Linked DNA regions of Lonchura striata. The protein of the gene in region 2 binds, or shares a complex with, the protein of the main gene of each other region. Links are inferred from orthologs where the notes say so. Each region holds a gene or a part of one and is shown on either strand. Other genes may lie near its edges. The genes, in order: RAMP1, CALCR and RAMP3.

Evidence for each region.
Region 1: the proteins of CALCR (region 2) and RAMP1 are in contact, whole or in part, in a cryo-EM structure (PDB 9AUC), measured with the Homo sapiens proteins. The link is inferred for Lonchura striata from reciprocal best matches to the Homo sapiens genes CALCR and RAMP1. Residues at the interface, in NP_001158210.1 of Homo sapiens: Arg45, Lys46, Met49, Asp50, Gln52, Tyr53, Tyr56, Asp57, Met59, Gln60, Gln61, Thr75, Trp76, Asp77, Gly78, Asn124, Arg126, Phe235, Leu238, Ile242, Thr246, Val250, Ala251, Gln257, Arg258, Trp261, Tyr262, Leu265, Phe269, Ile276; in NP_005846.1 of Homo sapiens: Trp59, Ile63, Tyr66, Arg67, Ala70, Asp71, Phe83, Trp84, Pro85, Val89, Asp90, Phe93, Leu94, His97, Gly98, Phe101, Ser103, Arg109, Ala110, Val111, Arg112, Asp113, Pro114, Ile118, Leu119, Phe122, Ile123, Pro126, Ile127, Val129.
Region 3: the proteins of CALCR (region 2) and RAMP3 are in contact, whole or in part, in a cryo-EM structure (PDB 8F0K), measured with the Homo sapiens proteins. The link is inferred for Lonchura striata from reciprocal best matches to the Homo sapiens genes CALCR and RAMP3. Residues at the interface, in NP_001158210.1 of Homo sapiens: Arg45, Lys46, Met49, Asp50, Gln52, Tyr53, Lys54, Tyr56, Asp57, Met59, Gln60, Arg74, Thr75, Trp76, Asp77, Gly78, Asn124, Arg126, Phe235, Leu238, Ile242, Thr246, Gln257, Arg258, Trp261, Tyr262, Leu264, Leu265, Phe269, Ile276; in NP_005847.1 of Homo sapiens: Cys57, Leu59, Ile63, Tyr66, Glu67, Thr70, Tyr83, Trp84, Pro85, Gln90, Ile93, Thr94, His97, Arg98, Phe101, Ser102, Cys104, Val106, His110, Leu111, Glu112, Asp113, Pro114, Val118, Leu119, Leu122, Ile123, Pro126, Val127, Leu129.

The regions. Positions count from the first base shown.
Region 1 is NC_134610.1:38,601,635-38,608,570, reverse strand, and holds the start of RAMP1 (receptor activity-modifying protein 1), read right to left. Parts: upstream 3,018-6,936; 5' UTR 2,977-3,017; coding exon 2,937-2,976; intron 1-2,936. UniProt on the Homo sapiens protein: Accessory protein that interacts with and modulates the function of G-protein coupled receptors including calcitonin gene-related peptide type 1 receptor (CALCRL) and calcitonin receptor (CALCR). Required for the transport of CALCRL to the plasma membrane.
Region 2 is NC_134603.1:133,051,612-133,058,541, reverse strand, and holds the start of CALCR (calcitonin receptor), read right to left. Parts: upstream 3,006-6,930; 5' UTR 2,708-3,005; intron 1,992-2,707; exon of another isoform or gene 1,705-1,991; intron 1-1,704. UniProt on the Homo sapiens protein: G protein-coupled receptor activated by ligand peptides amylin (IAPP), calcitonin (CT/CALCA) and calcitonin gene-related peptide type 1 (CGRP1/CALCA).
Region 3 is NC_134603.1:82,686,539-82,693,496, reverse strand, and holds the start of RAMP3 (receptor activity-modifying protein 3), read right to left. Parts: upstream 3,049-6,958; 5' UTR 3,035-3,048; coding exon 2,872-3,034; intron 1-2,871. UniProt on the Homo sapiens protein: Accessory protein that interacts with and modulates the function of G-protein coupled receptors including calcitonin gene-related peptide type 1 receptor (CALCRL), calcitonin receptor (CALCR) and G-protein coupled estrogen receptor 1 (GPER1).

The DNA.
Region 1 (6,936 bases), on a different chromosome or scaffold from region 2:
GAGACAAGGGACTGAAACCATGAAGCAGCTTCATTAGAGGATTTGATGATTAAAAGCACCCAGCTCTGCAGGCAGTGTAATGGCAGATAGGGATGAAGATTCCCTGGTAATCACCCATCCATAGAGGAACTGACCTGGCAAACCCCAGCCGTGGCTGTATTTTAGAGCAGCAAAAGGCATTTAGCTATCTGAGTGAGCTAAAATGCTGCATTTCCCCTCTAATGGGTTTTTAATGCTCCTCTTGCTCCAACCCAGTGGTGCTTTAGGTCCTGGCTTGGTGCAGGCACCGTGCTGGGAAGGGCTCTGACCACAGCCACGGACTTGGGGCACAAATCTGCCCTGAACTTCCCCCCAAAAAATGACAGAGCCAGACTCTGCATCCAGTCAGGGAGGCAGAACAAAGCTGCCAGAGCAGAGCAGCAACTCCAGACTCCCACCCACGGCTTTCCAAGACATCCCTCAACTCTGCCACAACCCCAACGTTGATTTCTAGCCCTGTGGAAAGGTAAAAGATGCCAAGCCCATCTTTACCCATTATGAGGTCTCATTTCATTCCATCCAGGCCATGGCATTTGTATTTGCATTACTGCAGGAGGCTGCTGTGCCAGTGCTTCACTTAAACTCAGCATCGTTTCAGAGCTAATAAATGCAACCCTATTCCTCAAAGCCAAGAGGCTTCCTGACAACATCACACAGCCTCCAGCCAGCCCACCAAACCCACCTGCCACTGGTTCCTGCAGCAAAACAACTGGCACCTATGGGAGCAGTACAAGGAATTACAGGGTGGAGGCAATTTTGTTGTTCCTATTCACGTGCTTCTCTTTTGATGCATAGGAAGTTTTGAGTCCTCTCCATGCCAGAGATGCTCTCAAAGGAGGAGGAATGTTTTACTTTATTGTCAGGGATTTCTAACGAGGCATTCTGTAAATATTGGGGATTTTCTCAGAGAGGCAGCAGCCTTAAGTTCGAGTTTAAAGGGAGCTTTAGCTTTTGATTAAGGAGGCACTCAAACTGCAATCAGTGGCAGGCATTACCGAGTGTGCTTTGGCCTGAGAGAAGACACAAAGCACTTTAATTCCTGTTTTCCAGGAAAGGTCATACACACTGCCTAGAAGTTTTGTTTTTAAGAAAGCATCGTTTTCTATAGACTATGCAAACACAGTGCTGTACAGCACAGAGAAAAGATGCAGGGAATCAAGAAGGTATTAATGTTTTACCAACCTTATTTGCAACTGCCTCTTACCTCTCACAGTAATAGTTATCTACACCCAGAAAAAATCCAAGCAGCCCAGCACAGAGCTGTGTGTGGTGCCAATCATCACTGCCCCAGTAACAGCAAGAGCCTGCCTCATCCCCTCCTCCCTGAGCAGCCTCTGCAGGAAGCTGCAGTCAAAACCCAGAAAAAGCCCCAGTGGAAGTGGTTACCTCGGGGTACAGCTGGATCCCTGGCCTGCTGAATGAGACTTTTAGGATGACTGATTCCCTGGCTGCCATTGCTTTTTAAAGACTGCAGCCAGTGGTGAAATTTCTTAAAGCTCAAGCTTTAAAAGAAAGGTTTTTCTCTCAGACCCTTCTCTTTTTTTTAAAAAAAATCTCATTTTAAAATACCTGCATTGGTGCAAATCACCTTGATTTCTGAGCACTCAGTTGCCACTTGCAATTTCAGGGCAGCCCTGACTGTGTGCAGGGCCGTAAAAGCAGAAAGGTGTAAAAAGAGTAAGTGGGTCTTTTTGTTAAATGTGCTCAAAATACAAAATCCCAGGAGGAGAATGTAGTGAAAAACATCTACAGCACCAAGATGAGCTGTCACTGGGCACCTGGTTCACACAAGAGGCAGCATCTTCCTGCTCCTGAGCCCACTGGAGATGGAAAGGAGCAGCCTGGAGTACTTTTAAAAGTTACAGCTCCCCAGCAAAGAGAAGGGAGAGTCAGGAAAAGGAGACGGGGCAGGGAAAAAAGAGCAGAGAGAAATCCTAGCTAGCAGGAGATAGCGCTCTCTGCACAGGGCTGTGCAGCTTTTCCCTGCAACCCCGCAGGAAAATGTGCCTCGTCCAAGGGCACGGGCTGCTCCTGCCCTGCACAGCTGAGGAGTAGTAAATAGTTAATTACAGTAGTAAATAGTTAATTACATGGTACAGATCAGCACATCATGTGTAGCACGGCTCACTGCGTTACTCCCCAGGGTTTGGGGGGAAAAAACCAGCACAGGGGAAGGAAGGGAAAGAAGGAAAAATTTGTGCTGCCTCAGGAGCACCTTTTGTGGAAGATCAGCTTAAGATGAGGGGGTGCGGTTTCCCTTTGGAGCACCTTAAATAAACACACTTTTACACAGCACCAACACCATCACCACCCCTCCGAGCTTTTGTTGAGGGCACACAGGTGACAAGCACGGCACAAGTCTTTACCTGTTGCACTGAAATGCTAGGAGCAGCGAAGAAACCGAGGCATCCCATGGAAACAAGCACACAACTCCAGCGTTTCCAAGCCCTCCACCCGTAAACCCCAGAACATCCGACCTCAGCTCTTTGAAGAGGCACTTCTGGCTACCTCCTCTTCCCTGCGGCTCAGGAATGGGAAGACAGACTACAAAAGGCAGTAATTAAACATTTCCAACAAAAGGCACGGACCAGAGACAGAACCCGCCTCGGTCCAGCTCGCCTAGCAAGCAGAGAATCCCCCTACAAAGCAGGCTGCGTCCCACAGCATCACCACCTCACTGCTCCCGAGGCCAAGCGCCCTGGAATAATTTCTCCTTTTCCTTTCCCTACTGCTGTGTCGCCAGCGAAGCCAGGCTGGAGCCTGGCCGGGCTTCAGGGAGAGCGGTGGGAGCGCGGAGGAGGCGGCCGGGGATGCACGCCCGCGCCCGGCGCAGAGGGAGTCCCGGGGAGCCTGGCGCGGCGGCCCCGGGGAAGTTGTGCCGCGGCGGCCGCACTTACCCAGCACGAAGCAGAGGAAGCGCCGCGGGAGCAGGGCCATGGCCCCACGGCAGCCGCGGCTCCGCTGCCGGGGCCGGGCGGGCTCCGCGCCCGCGGCGCTGCCGGAGGGAGGGCGGGCCCGGGGCGGCCGCGGCCCCGCCCGGCTCCGCTCCGCTCTCCCGGCGGCAGCGCGGGCCGCAGGAGCGGGAGCGCTCCCGCGGGGACAGCGGGACGGAGATGGAGCCCGGGCTCTCCTTATCGCCCTCTCCCCCTCGCAGCCCACGGGCGAACAGTTCCGAAGGAAAGCACGGAGCAGCCCGCCTTCCTCAACCCCGGTTCCACCTCCAGCGAGGGGATTTCTCCCTAGCTAAAACATCCTGCCTTCTCCCCCTTTCTAGGGCTGAACATACACATGGAAGGCGATTTTAAGGAGGAATGTTTTGTGGTTTCCGCTTTAATGTTTATTGGAGTGTAGCACCGCTCCCGAGCTCCTACAGCTCCACCTGCAGCTCGCTGCGGAGCTGTGCCCCAGCAGCAGAGCCTCAGGTGCTCCGGATCGGGATACGCCCGTGCAGCAGGGCAGGACTCTGCTGCAGCGGGGTCACTGCCCCACAGCTCGCTTCTCTCACGCCTGAGGTCAGCTCTCCCTCTCGAAGGTCAATAAAAAAGGAACAGCAGAGTTTGCTAACTCGAGTCTTTCACATCGTGCACACTTTGCTTTCCCAAGAGGAACAAGACAGCCAGTTCCTCCTGAACTATTAGCACCCGCCTAATCACAGAGCCCGGCTTGGGGAACAACAGCTGCTGGTAATGAGGTGAAGAGCAAAGCCTGGGACTGCTTCCATCTTGTCAGAGCCCGAGACACCAAAGCCGCGGCCTCACCTGCAGCACTGGGACCAAGGGCACAGCACAGAGCCATGGCTCTGCCACGGGGACAGGCAGCAGAAGAGGTCTGCAAACAGCACAGCATTGACCCAACTCTTTTGAAGAACAAATTTTAACCTTTATTGACAGTAAACAAGGCTGTTATTTCCAGCAGCAATTGCAACAAAGTACAAACAAGAGACTGGGTTAGGTGATCTCTGAGCAGAATCACCTTTTCTTAAATGTATTATATACTTGTTTCTTACTGTGGAAAATGGGGATTCTTATTTCCCCATTATTTAGTAATGCCTTGGCCATTTCACACCTCCCTCATGTTAAAAATAAAAATTATTATAAGTCATCATCTCCCACACAAAACAACAGGGAAAAAATACTGTAATATGAACAATTTGGACTGCAGAGCCCACGCACCACTGGAAAACCAAATAATCACTCCATAAGGAAAGCACAACACATTTTGAGGCTGTTAAAACTGACTGAAAATGCTTCCAAGCATAAGATTTTAATGTTTTGGGGATGAGTTTCTGTCCCTATCTACAGTCCTGTGAAAGTCAGCCAGGAGATTAATCCGAAGACTTTTGCAGGAAATGTGGCAGTGGCGCTGCTAGGAGGTCCCTAAAGCAAGCAGAGCACCAAGCTGAGCAGGAGACTAAAGCAAGGATGGACACACATCCCTGGAACTCTGGGCTGTAATTTCAGCACCTTCAGCTTGCTGCAGCGCCACACGACCAAAAGCATCGGTGAGAGAAAATAACAAGACACAGTCTGATTCTGTCAGGTTTCCAGCCCAGAGCTGGCCCAGGCAGCAGACAGAAACCATCAGTGTTTGGATCCAGAGGGAGCCAGGGCTGGGATTTCGGGTGAGAGGCTACACAAGGCCTGGCCCTTAGGTGTCAGCTGTGCACTGAACGCAGACAGTGCCCTCCACACAGCTCAGCAGTGAGGCAGTCCAGCTGTTGGAATCCAAAATACAGGGGATTCTCAGGACTTTGGGCCTGTAAGCCAAAGCTCAGAATTAAACACAGGCTTTGATCTGACTTGGAAAAGTCTTCCAAACTTAGGTGCTAGAAGCGAGAATGTGGATTTATAGTTTAAAGAAGAGACACATTAAGAACAGAAAAGTTTACACTTTTGAAGTTTAAGATAGAGAAAAAATGTAAACAGTTACAAAGATAAACAAGGAGTTCAGAATGCAGTACTGTAGGTTTGTGTGTCATAACATGACTGACTAAGAAAGCTTACACTGTAGCATGAGTTCATAAGAGGAAATATTTAAAAATTGGGTCAAAAAACTTAAATATCCTTGTTGGCAGTGTTTTATTGGCCAATAAAGCTTTAAAAGGTCTTATAACTAAAGGTCTTGTGACCTTCTGAACTATGCACTAGTGAGTCAAACTCATCCTTTCTATCTATATAGAAGAAAAATAACCACATAACCTAAAAACTCAGAGGTCCTGTCTCTACCTTGTTCAAAATGCCTTCAAAAATCCCCATATTCAGTAATAAACCACCAGTACACCAAGATTTATAGAATGCAACCTGTTTTACAGCTCCCAGTCTTTATAAACCGCTGCTCCAGTGGATTCACCCCGGTACCTCCTGCAGGGCCAGAGGCTGCAATAATCTAGTCAGGCTGTAGGGTGGGTTTACTTCCTTTAGCCTGGAATATTCACCTCTTTCAGTGCTTCTGCTGCTGAGAACTCAGAATGTCAGAGGCCTTCTCCTCAATAGAACTGATGGCCATGCCACTCAGGACACCCTTGTTGATTCTCCTCACCTCCTGCACTGCGCCTGCAATTTCCTCTCTGTGGGAATGAAGGAAATAACCGTGAACATCATGTTTTGTGCCACACATTTAGTGATTGGTTAGCATGCGTATTGACTACATTACAAATTAGGGCGAAAAAGAAATCCAAATATCTCACCTGCTAAACCCTGGATGCCTTTTTTGGAGTCTCTTTATTAACTTGGTAAAGCTGCTCAAGTTCAGTGCGTAAGGAGAAACAAAGATACCAGATGGGTCCACAGAGGAACAAATGGATGTTTTCTGCAGGGAATTTTCCCCAGGATCCTAGAAGTGCATCAAAATAAGGGAAAAAAATGCATGGCTTAAGGGTTGTACGGGTAATAAAACACCTCTTTCCTACAAATAAATATAAAATCCTAGATCCACAGAATGGTTTGGGTTGCAAGGCACCTTAAAGCTCATCTTATTCCTGCTACTTTAAAGTAGATCCAATTACCATTTCCCAAAGGACCAGCATGTTTAAAGGGAAATCCCCAAAGACAGCAAATCTGTGGGGTTTATGTGAGCAACACCAGCAATTACTGAATTGCCCTTTACTCTCCAAGGACTAAGCTGAGCCAATACAAAACACTGTATGTATAGATTTCTTAGATTTATGCTGGAAAATCCAAGAGTTTCCTTCCCATCCATTACCCCAAAATCTTTCCTGTATAAAGCCACAGGACGCTTACATTAAAAAAACTGGTGTTGCAAGATGAAAAATGTAGTGCAAACGTGGAAATTCCAAACTGTCCTAGGATTCAGAAAAACCAGCTGGGGTGTCACAGTCTGATGCAGGGGCAAAAGAATGGTGCTTTCACTCTTCTGCCACATGACAGAAACTTATTACCAATATGTTACATATTTTCCTATCCTTACATAATTTTCTATCTATTAAATGTTACGTGACAGGAAGATTTAAAGCTTAGTCTGCCACACAAAGTAGTGTGAGCAATAATTACTTCCCTTCTGATTATCTCCAAGCAAACAATGTGCCAGCTGTTGAGTAGGTGATTTCAAATCAAGGCTCTTGGTAGTAAATGCAGAGTATGAAAGAAGCCTTAAAGAGGCAAGAAATTCCTCCTACAAATTAAGAACAGACCTACCTCAGGCACTGAGGTTTTTGGACCACCAACAGGAACAGAAGATTGTTCATTCCCACTCCCCACTGTCTTCACTTCTAGTAATAAATGTAAGAAAGTAAAGAGTGACTGTTCTTGAGCTGACATCTTCTCCATAGACTTTGGACAGCCTAGAGAGAAAACTTTAGAACAAACTAAGGGAGAGAAGAGAATCTCCTAAGAGAAAATGAGTGTCCTGAGAAGCACAGCAGTTCAGCTTGTGGAACAT
Region 2 (6,930 bases):
AACAATACAGTTTACTCTGTATAGCTTTTAAAAACAACTATTAAGAGCTGTGTGGCTCTTATCCATGATTCTAAAGCAGTTACATGTAGAGATGTTTGAAGTGCCATCACTAGCCAGATTTAAACATTGCCACTTCAACTACAAAGTAAATTTGGTTGTCACTCACTATAAATGATAATGAAGATGTACACTGAAACCCACCCTTTGGAGGGGTTAATTGGGATTTTGCCATTTATCTTAACAGGACCAACATCTACCCAAGATTTATAGAGTTTTCATACTCTAATACATACCAGTAGATACAGAAACACAGTTTTTAGTTCATTCAGAACTATTTCATGTCAGCTAGCATATGACAGCTATAGTAAGAATCAGAGTGGTAGCTTAGCAAAAGTTGCCTACCAGCAAAGGTTATCGCATGTCTGAAGAAATTACACTGAAGTATTAGCTCTCCTGTATTTAATTTATCTACTTGACAATTATGCCTAGGATTCTGAGAGGTGAATTAAATTCTCTCTTCAGCTCAACACCACCTGCAGTTTGAGCTGTTGGCAGCAAAGAAATGTCATCCTGGTCAGCCCTGATACACAGCCCTAAAGCAGCATAAGGACCCTTTCGCTGACCAAACACAAGGGTTCCCCCAACAGCGTCATCCTTCAACCACTGAGGGGGAAAAGGAGCAGAAGCAAGACCTTAATTTCATTCAGTGCCTATGAAAAAGCAAAGGCATTATATTGTGATGCCTTGTTTAATTCATTCTATACTCCCTCTAATCAGACTACTTAACTCTAAAGTGCACAGTCCTGAGAAGAGTATCACACACTGCATTACCCTTAAGAAGTTCAAGGGTTACCAGTGTATGTAAAAGCTTGTCAGGAAGACATAATCTGTTAGATATCGACAATATTGACTTTGAGAGGTCTTAGGACACACATCTTTCTATTGACTCTTTTTTATGAATGATTTTTTCATTCATCATTTCAGCTACAATTGCCATTCTGTAACTAAAATAAACCAGAAGTTTTTCTCTCCTTTGCAAATTGTCAACTACATTAACCTTGTCAAAAAAACCTACAAGAATGAAATCAATATAGCAATTTAAAGACAAAATTGACAGGCACTATATTGTATTTGGACAGATTCAGTAAATAGCCTCCTACATCAATCTACTGTCATCAATGGCAATATTCTAAAACCTACTAATGTTGTTTATTACATTTGCGGTGTGAAACGCCAAAGTAAGTACAGATACCGGTCCAGCAGAAGAAAAATAACACGGAGATAACATCTGACGTGCCCGAGAAGCACGAACTAGTGACTCAGGTGTCATTTAAAGGCGCTGTAGTTCCAGCGCGGAGAGCGGCTGCTCTACAGCCGGTACGCTGCCGGCACTGACTTGCTCCCCAGCGCAGAAGCCGCAGCGCAAACTCCGGGATCCACCGTGCCCCGTGCCCGCGCTGCGCCCCGACCGCCGGCTCCGGGCAGCGGCGGCCGGCCGGCCCTCGCCCCTTCCCACAGGGTGCCCCGCACACGCTGCCCAGCGGGTCGGAGCTCCTACAACCCACTCCCTCTTCCACCTAAATTTTGGGTGCAGTGCCAGCCAGAGACTGTGTTCCCCCCGGTACCCCGCTCCCGCCTGCCCCGCGGCCGCTGTCCCGGGGGCGGCGGGTGGGAAGGGCTGGCGGCTAAGTTGCCAGGACTTACGGTGGCAGCGCTACCGACGCTGGCGCGGCACCTCTCCCGGCCTCCCGTCACCTCGGGCCACCTCCGCGGCGGCTCCGTGCCCGCACCCGAGCAGCCCGGCCGCCCCTTCACTCCTCGGAGGGGCGCATGGCGCTGCCCGCTCCCCGAGACCCACCCGGTGGGTCTTCGCGTCCCGGAGGGGGCGGACAGCCACTGGCCAGGGTCGAGCCCCTCCGGCGGGGCTGCGCCTCGGGAAGCATCTGCCTGCTCTCTCCCGCGACGCGCCCACTCCCCGCTCCACCCCGGGCGCGGCGGGGCTTCGCGCCGACGTCGGTGCGGGGCGGCCGGAGCCCGCCCGGCGGCGGCGGCAGCGCCTCCCCCGCCCCCGCCTCCCGCGGCTCCGGCGCTGCCGCCGGCGGGGCGGCCGTGCCGGGGCCGGCGCTGCGGGGGCGGCGGGAGCGCGGCCGTGCGGCGCTCCCCACACAGCGCCCGAGGAGCGGGGGTCCTGCTGCGCGGGGCCGAGAGACGCCCGGCCAGGGGCAGGGACGCGTCCCCCATGCCCCTCGTCCCCGCGGGGGAGGGGGGCTCGGCAGCCCGGCCGACTGTCCTTTGTACCGGAGGTCCCTTCCGTGCGGGGCCGGGAGTTCCCGGACCGCCATCGGCCGGGCTCTATCCGCACTGGGGGTGCGTCGCTCCGCAGGAGCTCGGACCCGGCGATGTCAGAGGCTCGGCCGGCGACCTCGCCTCCTCCTCCTCCTCCTCCTCCTCTTGGAGGAGAAGATCTTCAGATCCGAGCCAGCGTTGAGCTTCTATCGCGGGCATCTTTTGGAAAGGAAAGCCTGGGGAGCATAGGGCGTGGAGTGTGGGACCCCTGCGATCCGGCACCTGGGCGGGTGGGGCGCTGCCCCCGCAGCGGATCGAGGGTTGCTGGGGCCCGTGGGCGCCCCGGGGATGTTGTCCCGCGTCCTCCCGTCTGCCCCGTCTCCTCTGATGCTCTTCCAGCTTGCATGAACCATCTACCTACCGTCCACCAAGCTGGGGAGGATGAGCAAGAGGTGGCCGCAGCGTTCATCCGACGGCAGAGTCATCTAAATTCCCGTTTCTGCTTCAGAAGTCATGTAAACGTTTTAAACTAACTCTAAGAAGAGGCCGTGAAAGACCTGGTTCCAAGCACCTCTGGGTACCTCTGGTCTCCTCAGAAAAGCAGACCCCAGCTACACGGGCATCCAGGGGCAATTAAGCCAACACCCCCCCACCACCTCTCGGAAGAGCGTCGAGTGGTGGTGCATGAAGTAGTGCAGGGGAGGACTTTTCTGCTATGACTGTTGCAAGCTGCCCAATATTTAAATATCCAGAGAGCCACAGTGAGGGTGGGAGCCCAGCGAACGCACGGTGATTCACCTCAGCGCTCCTGACGAACATGCCAGCGCGGATAGCAGGTAGTGGGGTGTCTTCCCAGCAGGTGGAGTCAGGAGGCAAACAAACTTGCTCAAAAGGTACCGCCACCCGGCTGAGGACAGCTTTTTAATTTCGTTTTTCTGTGTGAAGGGTTTTGCTGCCATCAAATAAAGTGAACCCTGGCTTTAGAGTCGCCTGGCTTACTTCTGAATGGAAAGTTAGCACCTGCTGAAGCAGTTCTCAGGTGTTTTTCTTCCAGCTGCCACTTTCTCTTACAGACTACAGCCAAATTTTACAGCTTGCCTTTCTTACAGAAACCTGCATGCAAAAGCAGCTGGCTGCCTTTTTGCGGCTCAAGCCATTCTGAGAAGGGTGGGAGGGACAGGAACAAGGGAGCTTAGTGCTCCGAAGGAGGTGCTGGGCTTAGCATGCACCAAGGTCCAAGAAAAAGGAACTTTTTGCCACTTTTCCCAGCAGCTGATAAAAGAGTTCCTCCAGATAATACCATTGAAGAAAATTGTCCTCCTTCACATTGGGGTGGGGGGGGAAACCATGATAAGAATTGAGAGACTCAAAGAATACTGATGTAAATTGTTATCCCTTTAGGATTTAAACTTTCACTGTTGGTTTTATCCTTTTATCTTTTTATCTCCTGTGGAGAAAAGAGAACCAGTGGAAGCCAAAGAGAAACAGTGGAAGCTGCTTTTATGAGCTCTCATAGTGCCACAATTCACTCTTCACAGCATTCTCTGGTAGGAGAAGTTACATCAGGGGATGTTCTCATTAGCTGCACTAGGTCTGGCACCACGGAGCAGCACCCCTATGGACTCACTGCAGTCGTGTCCCTCTCATGCCACAGCTGCCCCGCGGTGGGCTTGGGTGAGTCACAGTTCTAAATGCTTCAGATGTTTGTGGAAGAGGAGCTGCTCAGAAGGAAAACCTTATGCTGAAGCCTAGGGAAAGTGGGAGATTGCCCCTTCCTGACACTGCAGCAGTAAATTGAAAGAGGCAAAATAGACAGCCAGTTTCTCCCAAGGTCCAGCTATTTAGGGTTTTTTTGTATGTTACCCAGCTAGTACTGTTCATTCTATAATTGGAATGCATCACATTTTAACTGATGGGTTTTATATTTTTTTCAAAATGGATTGCATGTTTCTCTGTTTTCTTAGTGAATAGTATTCATCTGCTTAAGTATAAATCTGTCATCCCATAATCTGGAAATAGCTTTCCTAAAGTCTGGGTGGTTTTTTAATGAATTCCTATTTTGTTAACCATTACCTTGACACAGAAGCAGCACTTTCTCATTTGTTCTGCTTTAAGCAATTCCCCTGTGCCCCATGGGACTGCAAGCATGAGTACTTACTTCTTAGTATGTGTGTGAAATACTGATCCCACCCATAAATAACTACTGGAAATTATTAACTGTACCCAATGGTTTTATTTCCGCCTGTGCTCAGGAGTCATTACAACACTGAATTCTGCAGAGAAGAGGCTGAGCTAGTGTTCTATGTTGTGATATTATAGTTTTGCTTTGTACGTGAAAAGTGAGGGAGGTCCAAACCTTCTAAAATTTCAGTGATTTTTTTTTTTGTTATGAGGGAAAATATTTTTCCACACAGTATGTAAATTTTGCAGTTGTGTAATTTGTCTCATTTGCACCATCTTTTATTCTGTAAATGTATTTTTTTTTTTCATTTAATGGTTCTAGAAGTAAGGATGCCACTTGTGACAGGCACTCTGCTAATTTTCTTGGTCAGGTGAAGAATTCAAAAGAAAAATTCCCAGCTGGATCTATCAATTGTGTAGAGATATTTCCAAAATCTTTTGCAGATGCCTGCATTGCAAGCTGTATGGAGACAAGTTATTTTCTGTCATAAGTTATATATCTTTTTTGCTTGGCATGGTGTACCCCATAGGAATTACCCAGAGCACAGTATTATCAAAGAAGAGTTTGCTCAGATTTGGTTTGTTTGAAGCATGGGAGGTGTGAGCATTGAGCTGTCTACAGAAGGCATGCTGTATCTTTTGATAAAATGATTGTAAATAATGCATTTGAGTGAGGTCTATATTCAGAACTTGGATAAAATACTGGAATTTGCAAAACACATCATTTAAATAAAAAAGGTAATACATTCACCCTAATCCAGTTCAGGGTCAAAAGAATGGGACTTTGCCATTGGTTTTAGCATAAGTTATGTCAGTCCCTATAAGGCCTACATAGGAATATTTAATTATTTACATACAACTTGGTATTCTTCACTCCTGGAAGTGATCTGGCTGAAAACTCTGAGAACAGTTACAGCACTATCAGCAGCAATGCAGGCTTCCAAAGCCTGCCTGCTGGAAAACACATCAGCTCTGTGAGGGGGAAATTCATAGAGTGATTATAGCTGCCATTCAGACCAAGCATCCCTAATGAGATAATTTTGCTTTTCATTTTTGGAAAAGGAGATCACTCCAGAATTAGGGGTTTGCAGAGTGACAGGTAAACATATTTAAGAAACTACTGTCAGTTGCAGAAGTCCATTCCCAACATGAAAGGAAACATCAGGAGAACTACAGAAATGCTCAAGAGTCTGGAAAACACGCAAACAGTTTAGACTAGGATTATTTAAAGAATAGAACAGTGTTTTATTTCTAATCCCATAAACTATCCAATTATTCAAGAACTGTCTTTTTAAAACAGCTCTTTTCAAAATTAATGATTGTTAATTTTTTGTTAGCTTTGTTTTGTAGAAACCTGAAAAATCAGGACTCATGTATTTATCCAATATCAGGTAACTCATTAGAGTAATGTATAAATTGTTTTAATGTCACAATAGAGTTATTTAAATCAGTTGCATAATGCACAATAATCTCAGTATTTCTCTTAATGTACAAAAAAGGCATGGGTAATTACATTTGTCTCTTTGCTTAAATTTATATTTTTAACTTATATTATGTCATTTAATCTCCCTGAGTTGATTCTTCAGTTCACAACTCAGGATGTTCTAAGAGGATCTCCAAAACATTTTAAAGTGAAGGAAAAAAACCCTGACATATGCCTCTAGAAGATAATTTGTTGGGTTTTAGTGTGTTTTTTGGGTTTTTTAAAGAACAATGCATTCAGTCATTAATTTGGAGAAACAAAAGCAAAGAAATAGAAAATGAAAAATACAAAAAGTTCACTTGTATCCAAGTTTTCAAAGAATAAACAAAAATGAATAGAGACATTCCAGTTGTTGTACTTCTGCCACATTCAATTTTCTCTAGAAGAGGCTATTTTAATTTAGCAATACTTGTTTTCATTAGTACAGCACTCAATAGTTATCCATATTGGTAGTAGAAACACAGTGGGTTTTGCTTGCACTGTGTAGAGAAGGGAAAGGAAAAGCAAACAAGATAATGAAAATCTAGGGAATGTTTCCAAAGAGTGGGCATCTGATTCCCTCAGAATGAGCAAGTATTTTCTATCTTCACTTGGAATCCAACACCCCAGGCTTCATTAAGCCAGTGTCTAGCTGTACATGATTCTAGAGAGAATGTCAGCCAAGCATCAAAAAGAAAATCTGTTCAGGAGAATTAAATGCACTGGCAGTTACAAGAAATGTCCTCTCTAGTGCTTGTGCGGTATATAAATCATAAAATATTCTAGATTACACAAAATTTCACTAGAAACTATTTAAGAGCCTTATGAGATGTCTACAAACCACCAGCAGGCATATTTAATAAATCATACATACTTATGAAGTCACATCAATGTAAGTTTCCCCTTAATACAAAAATGTATTTAAAACAAGAAATTTCACATTATTTGAAGTTCAAAGTACTGTAAAAATCTATTAAACCTCAAGACTGAAATATGTATTT
Region 3 (6,958 bases), about 50 Mb from region 2:
ATAAAATGGTCTGTTTTGTAAAAGTTTATTTGTTTTACACACACACACTCACCTTGGTCTATTAAATTCAGAACTCCTACGATGGTATTCCCTTTCTTTGTTCCACCCTTTGCAGCTGCAGAACAGCATGATATTCATAAGAAAATAATGGGGAAAAAAAAAAAACCTTGATTTGGTTTTCAAACTTTAACCCACTAAAATTGTTTCCTGTTGGATTTTTTTTTTTTTTATCATTGGAATCCAAACTCTCCAGGACTTATATATGCCATGTTTCACATAAGGGCAGCTCAGGACCTTACAGAATTTGGACTTTTATACTCAGCTTTTTCATTATTGTTTGCAGATGAGGTAGTCTTCAAAACAGAAAGTAAAAATGTAATTGGGACCAGGCTGTTTCCAACTGTCCAGCTGCTCAGCTGTGACCAAAGCACTAAGCCTGGCTGACCCCTGTGAAAACAGATTATGAAATGCAAAAACCAACTGACTATCTTTGAAATTTGCACACAAGAACTGCTCCAGATAAGGATCACACTATCTCTCTTGAAATAGGTTTATAGAAATATATTGAGGAAGATTACTCTGGAATTTAAAAAATACCCAGCTTTACTCTGGTAGCATCTTTTTACTCAAATACAAATAGTACCATGGAACTGCAGGTGTTACATAAGGAATGAAGGAGAAACACTTGGGCAGGGATTCCAAAACAATTACCTGTATAAAAAAAACGACTTTGTTAAAAGTGGTCAAGCCCTTACCTCTTCTTACCTCAGTTTCCATACATAGAAGTATACCAAGAAAATTTGGTATGATGGTAAATACAACGCTATTTCTTAGGTGCTTAGATTCCACTGTTAGTAGGTGTCTTACAAGTATCTACAGCTCTGCTAAGCCAAATCAGAGGATTTCACCTGACAGCTGGTGTTTCCAGCTCTTACCCATTCTGGATGTTATTGCACTTCACAGAACTGATGACATGTCTGTGTACCAAGTACCTCGGCTGATGCATTCTTTCCCCTCCACACTCTGTAAATTCAGCTTCTCCTACAATCACTGAGTGAACACACTGCCTTTTTGTCCATCTCACTAAGGATGCACAACACAACAAGTAGTTATGCATAGACATAATGAGTCAAAACTCCTAGGCAGAAAGATAAAGAAAGTAGTTGCCTGTGGTTACAGAACTACAGTCCCACACCCCACCCAGATGGGCTTCCCACTGCCTTCAGTGAGCTTAGCACTGAGGAATAGTGGTTTCACCTTAATGACAGAGGTCACAGCTCTGTGCTTAATTAAAAAAAAAAAAATAAGAATGACCATTCAATTAAAATAAATATTCTTACAAAATAACTATTTTTTAAACTGTGTTTGTATTTCCAAATAAGCAATTTAGTTTTCTACCAATTTAGGCTTTTCTTATAAAAAAACCTGAGTTCACATCCTAAAACTCTAAAGTTTTTCTACTAGGAAACTAGTCTCATTTAATTAGTTCTTGATTATATCTACCCTTTCCAATTCCAAGAAAAAGTAATGTATTATCAGTTAACAGATATTCTTAAAATCTTTTGTGTCTGCGTTATTCAATTAGGACTAGAACTGGCACAGTTAAAAATGTCTAGCACAATTGATTTATCTGTGCCTCTCTGGTGAAAAATGTCCTGTAGCTTCCTGAGCCACAGCGACACTGTCCTTCACTCTAGTAAATCTCTGAAAACAAATCTCCAGTGGATAATTCTACTTTGCAAAAATCACAGCAACATTGCCTCCCCATACAAAAAGATTATTGCCTATTTCCCTAAGTTCAAGACTGCATAAATATTTCACATGTCAATACAAGTGTTGGTTGTCTTTTCAGCTGAGGAATAACAGAAATCTGAGCAACTAAGGTAAGATTTTAGAAGTCCTCAAGCCACAGAGAATCAGAAATTTGTGCATGTAGCATGTCATTCTGTTGACAGACCAGCTAAGGATGATGCTACTGAGCACTGTAGAAACTGTCTATTTGTTTGTGGGTCTTTTCATAGAAATATTGCAGTGTTTAGCAGTTTTGGAAGGGGTCAAAAATAACAAAGTTCTGAAGTCCTCAGATATATCTTCTAAAGGTACCAGGCTTGAATTTTTGTTACTTAAGTGTGACTCACAGGAAATCAACTACATCTCTTAGCTTACTGTTGAGTGAAGATGATCAGAGCTGATTTCTGGCAACTTCAGATGACTGCAACACATTAAATATGAGAGCCCTAAGCAATCTACCTGACAAGGAACAATAGTTTTTCCAGCAGCCAAGGCAGACTAAGTGAAAGATCTGAAGGATATCTGTGCTTGATAGCTACGTGCTTGAAACTCAACTACTCTAACAGGAATCAGCCCTTCATTCTTCAGGAAAAAACCTTTCCCAATAGCCAAACACACCTCCCCAGAATCCGTGTGGGATCCAAGATGGAAATCCTGACTAAGGCAAGAAGTTAGAGATTGTTTACCCCGGGGCCTGGACTCCTCTCAGAGATGTCGGCGCGATGCTGAAGGGGACCACCGGCCCCGCTGCCCGCCAGGCGCGGCTGGAACGCTCTCGCTGCGAAGCCGCCGCTATGCTCGGGATGGAGAGCCCCGGAGGGAAAGTGATCCCCGCTGCGTCCCGACCCGCCGGCAAGGGAGGCCCGGAGACCCCCTCCCAAAGGGATTCTCTAGCCAAAGAAGGGGCGCTCCCACCTTCCCCGAACTTCAGCCCCACGTCCCGGCTTGAAGCATTGCCCTCGGAGACTGCGCACCCGCGAGGATGCTCAGCCCGTCCCGGTGCAGCAGCCCCGGAGCGGTAGCGGCGAGCCCCACCGCACACTGCCGGGACGCCCCCGGCCAGCTCCGCCAGCCACTTACCCCAGAGCAGCAGGACGGGGAGCTGCTGCCGGCGGCTGCCCTGCGCCTCCATCCCGGCGCGGGCGGCAGCGGCCGCGGAGGACGGAGCCCACATGGGGCGGCCAGCTCGCAGCCGCAGAAGGCCCGAACTGGCTTCAGGCCGCCCGCAGGGGAGGCTCTTCATGCCTCGGCGTCCAGCCCCGGGCGGCGGCGGCAGCGTGGGCGGGGGCGCAGGGGAGCAGCTCCTCCGCCCCGGGTGCTTCCAGCAGGGCGGAAACGGCGGCCGGGCCGGGCCGGGCCGGGCGGAACGGGACAGGACAGGGACAGGAGCAGGGGCAAGCACGTGCGAGTGTGCTGTGTGTGCGGCCACAGAAGCGCGGCTGTGCCTCCTGCTCCTCCAACAACCACGGCAGGAGCGATGCCGCTCCCAGCCATCGGTCTGTGTGGCTGCCTAGAGGAAAGGCACCTACCCCCAGGGTGACAGTTCTGGTTGTAACTGTCTGAGGGATTCAGGGATTCTTCACCCCTTGCCCTGGGAGCCAGATCAGTTGCTTTCATCCTATCACAACATCCTGGCGGTGGGGGTGAAGGCATGAGATGCTGGAAGGCCACCTGTGTTAGCTCACTTGCAGCCATTGCACGGCATGTGTTGGCATGCTCAGTATTTACAGCTGAATATGGGGAGTGAGCTTGTCTGACCCCACACAGACCCAGAGCAGCCTGGAGTTCTAAGATGCTACGTGTATGTGTATTTTTATGTTGCAATTTCATCTTTGCCTGTCTCTTTTCAGAGATGGTACAGCTCCTGATTTTCATCAATATTTAAAAGCTGTGTTCCTAGAGCTCTCTAGGAAATTAGCATATCCATCGAGAAACACCAGACTGGGAAGCTGCTAAAGGCGACTTTTCTTACCTAAAAATAGTAGTATTGCTCAGTAACGAGGACTCAGACTGTTCTTCTGGGTACATGGACACTCCACCTCAATAATGGCCTTCTAGTAGAACATTAAATCACTGTCATTATTAAAGGTCAAATGTACCATCAAATTTCAAAAGAGATTTTCAAGCCACACACAGGAACAAAGAGTACTTTTAGGTATCAGTCAGGTTGTTAACATTGACTTTGTACACTTGCCTTGCACAGTGCTCCAAACACTTTTGGAGACTGGGACCCCAAAATGTGCCTTTGTAACCACTGTTTTCAGTACACAACCTTTGTCTGATTTATTCTGTTGTCTAGGCTGAAGGAAATGGAGAACTTCAGAAACCACAGAGAAGGTTGGGAATACAATGTTGAAACAGCTCTGTAGACATTTAAGTGTGTCACTGAGAGTTAACCTCCTATCCCTTGTGTGCCACTTCTTCCACTTAGCTGGAAGCAAAGCTTGTAAAACACCATAAACCATAAATAATCCGTAGCTCAGGGAGATCATCCTTCAGCACAGGGGCTACCATTTCTGCTTTGTAAAGAGTGTTTGCAATCTGCCCCTGCCAGAAGAAGCTGCAGCAAAGTGACAAGCATAAAGGCACATACACCACAGACTAGTTATACCATCTATACATTATGTGTAATATGGATAATTCGTGCCTGCAGGGTGATAGGTGAAATGAAGAAGGTCTTTGCCTTTATTAGTGTTCAGCTCTTTATTAAAAAGTCAGCTCGGCAGGGGGGGGTGTTGTAGCTTCTTCTGGTAGCTGTAGGGTGAGAAGGCGTGCAGAGTCTGTCCCTGGAGTCTCCGTGGCACACTGGTAGCCAGAAGTGAAGAGGTGTCCAGTCTGTATCTGAAGTCCCAGGAGACTGTCCTCTTTCCTTTCCTCCTGGTACACTGGTAGTCACAGGGTAGGGGGAGGATGTGCAGAGCCTGCTGCCGAAATCCTGAAATCCGGCAGCAGCTATCCCTCTCCTGCCCTCCTGGTAACACCAGGTAAAGTGTCTGTTCTCCTTGTGCCTGCTTCCCACAGTCCAATCCAATCTGGTCCTCTGCAGGTTATGGTGACAGGTCAAACACAGACTAGGGATGGGGTTCCCTTTTCCCCAACCAGCACACCCATCCAGCCCCCTCCACTGTGCCCCTCTTTTTCATTTTGGGGTACTTTTCATCCCCAAAACCCCCTCCCATGATTCCACTGGCTTATTTTGCATCCTAGTCCTAGTTTGGGTGGGGGTGTAGGTGATTCCCAGGAGCGATTAGCTAATTAACATTTCAATGTCCATACTTAGCTTAAGCCAAAGTGTCCCAGCCAGGCTGTTTTGTTCATAACAATAGGTATGTAATGTTTCATACTACTGAAATTATTGGCATAAAACATACGAGCCAGAGCTAGGGGGTTGCTTCACATATGTTGAAACTATAGCTGATAAGACTTCATTTACAAGTTAATACACATAGGTCCTTAGGTTCGAGATGGGTCATTTCTCAAGGTGATCTAGGAACTCCCAGGCAATGATTGTCCTGGCTACTACCCAAGATTGAGATCTCTGGAACCACCAAAAGATACATCTCAATACTGAGTTCCCTTTAACTCCATCAAGGATGTACTTCCTGGACAAGGATTGCTTCCTGGACTCCTGTTTGTTCAACTCAGCACGGAGGAAAGAGACTTTATAAAATTGTGGGACTTTGAATGGAAAGAAAAGGCTGATTGCCAAAATCCTGGCCTCGAGCAAAATAAACCATATAAAATCTGCTTGCACATGACGGTCAGTGTGAAACATAGGGGTATGCTGTGTTGGTCAAACCTGTGTCTCACCCAGCACCGATCCCAGTCTCAGCACTGTCCTTTTCTTTGTAGCTGGCTCAGATAGAATTTGATCGCTAAATAATTTTTTTTTTTTTAATTTGGCTAGATTAATTTTTACCTATAACATATAGCATTCTTTCTAACAGTAAGATCTTGATTTCCATCACAAATTCCATTTCTCGCAAATCTGAAAATACAGTTAGTATTTTCAATAATTTAGATTGATTTCCAGGAGGCTAAGCATCATGGTTTATTGCAATATTATATGTTTAAAATGTTTTAAAAGTATAGTATATTATACAGTATAAAGGCAATGCTTTTTGTAACACACCTGGAGATAATGGTGTCGGGTCTTTTTGCATCAATTGCATTTGTTTTCTTCTCCTGTTTCAGATTAAAAACTGGCAAAGTGAGTGTTACTTCTTCCAACTCTCAAGATTCAGGAAGCACTTACCATTTTGTGCTTGCAGCACATAGTTTGAAGGTGCAAACAGTATCTCTGAGGTAGAAAAAATTGATAGAATTTATAGGTAAATGCACTAATGCAGCATGTTGCATTGTGTTATGTGTATTTTGGATAATTCATGCTTATAAAAAGAAATATATATAGAATATGTTATGTTGGTCAGAAATATTCTTAAAAGGTTTTAAGCATGCAAGCCAGAGTTGGGAGATTGCTTCAAGATATGTCAAAACCGCTGACAAGAGAGAGGAGGACCTCATTTGCAAATTAATGAACGTAGCAAGGTGATCCGAGGAACTCCGAAGCGATGAATACTTCATAAATACATCGGAAAGATACATCTCAATGCCACGTTCCAGTAACTCGACGATGGACTTACATCACGCTTTGGATACAGTTTTGTTCAGCTTGACCTGGAGAAAAGAAACTATGTGAATATACTACTCTGAAAGGAAGAAAATCTTGATCGCAGAAAACTCTGCCTCGGGCAGAATAAACTGTATAAGAACCGCTGGGACAGGACAATCAGTGTGAACATAGGAGACCCTATGCTGTAGCGGTTGGACCTATGTCTCACCCAGTGCCGATCCCGGGCTCGGCTCTGTTCTTTCGATTGTGGCTGTCTTAGACCAAATCTTGATCGCTGAATAAAAATCTGATTTATTAATTATTAATTATTAATTAGGCTTGATAATTTTTACCTATAACAATTGGATCACAAGCCAGCTATGGTAGGTGATATCTTCAGCAACGTGTTCTAAAATGAGTAAGTCTGATTCACATTTGAACAAAACTGTGACAGCAGTAGAACAGTCCTCAAGATGGTTCAAAAAACTTAAGCAGTTTGCAGTTTTTCAGTAAGACTGACCACTTCCCCCAACTCCCATTGTATTGCAGTAATGC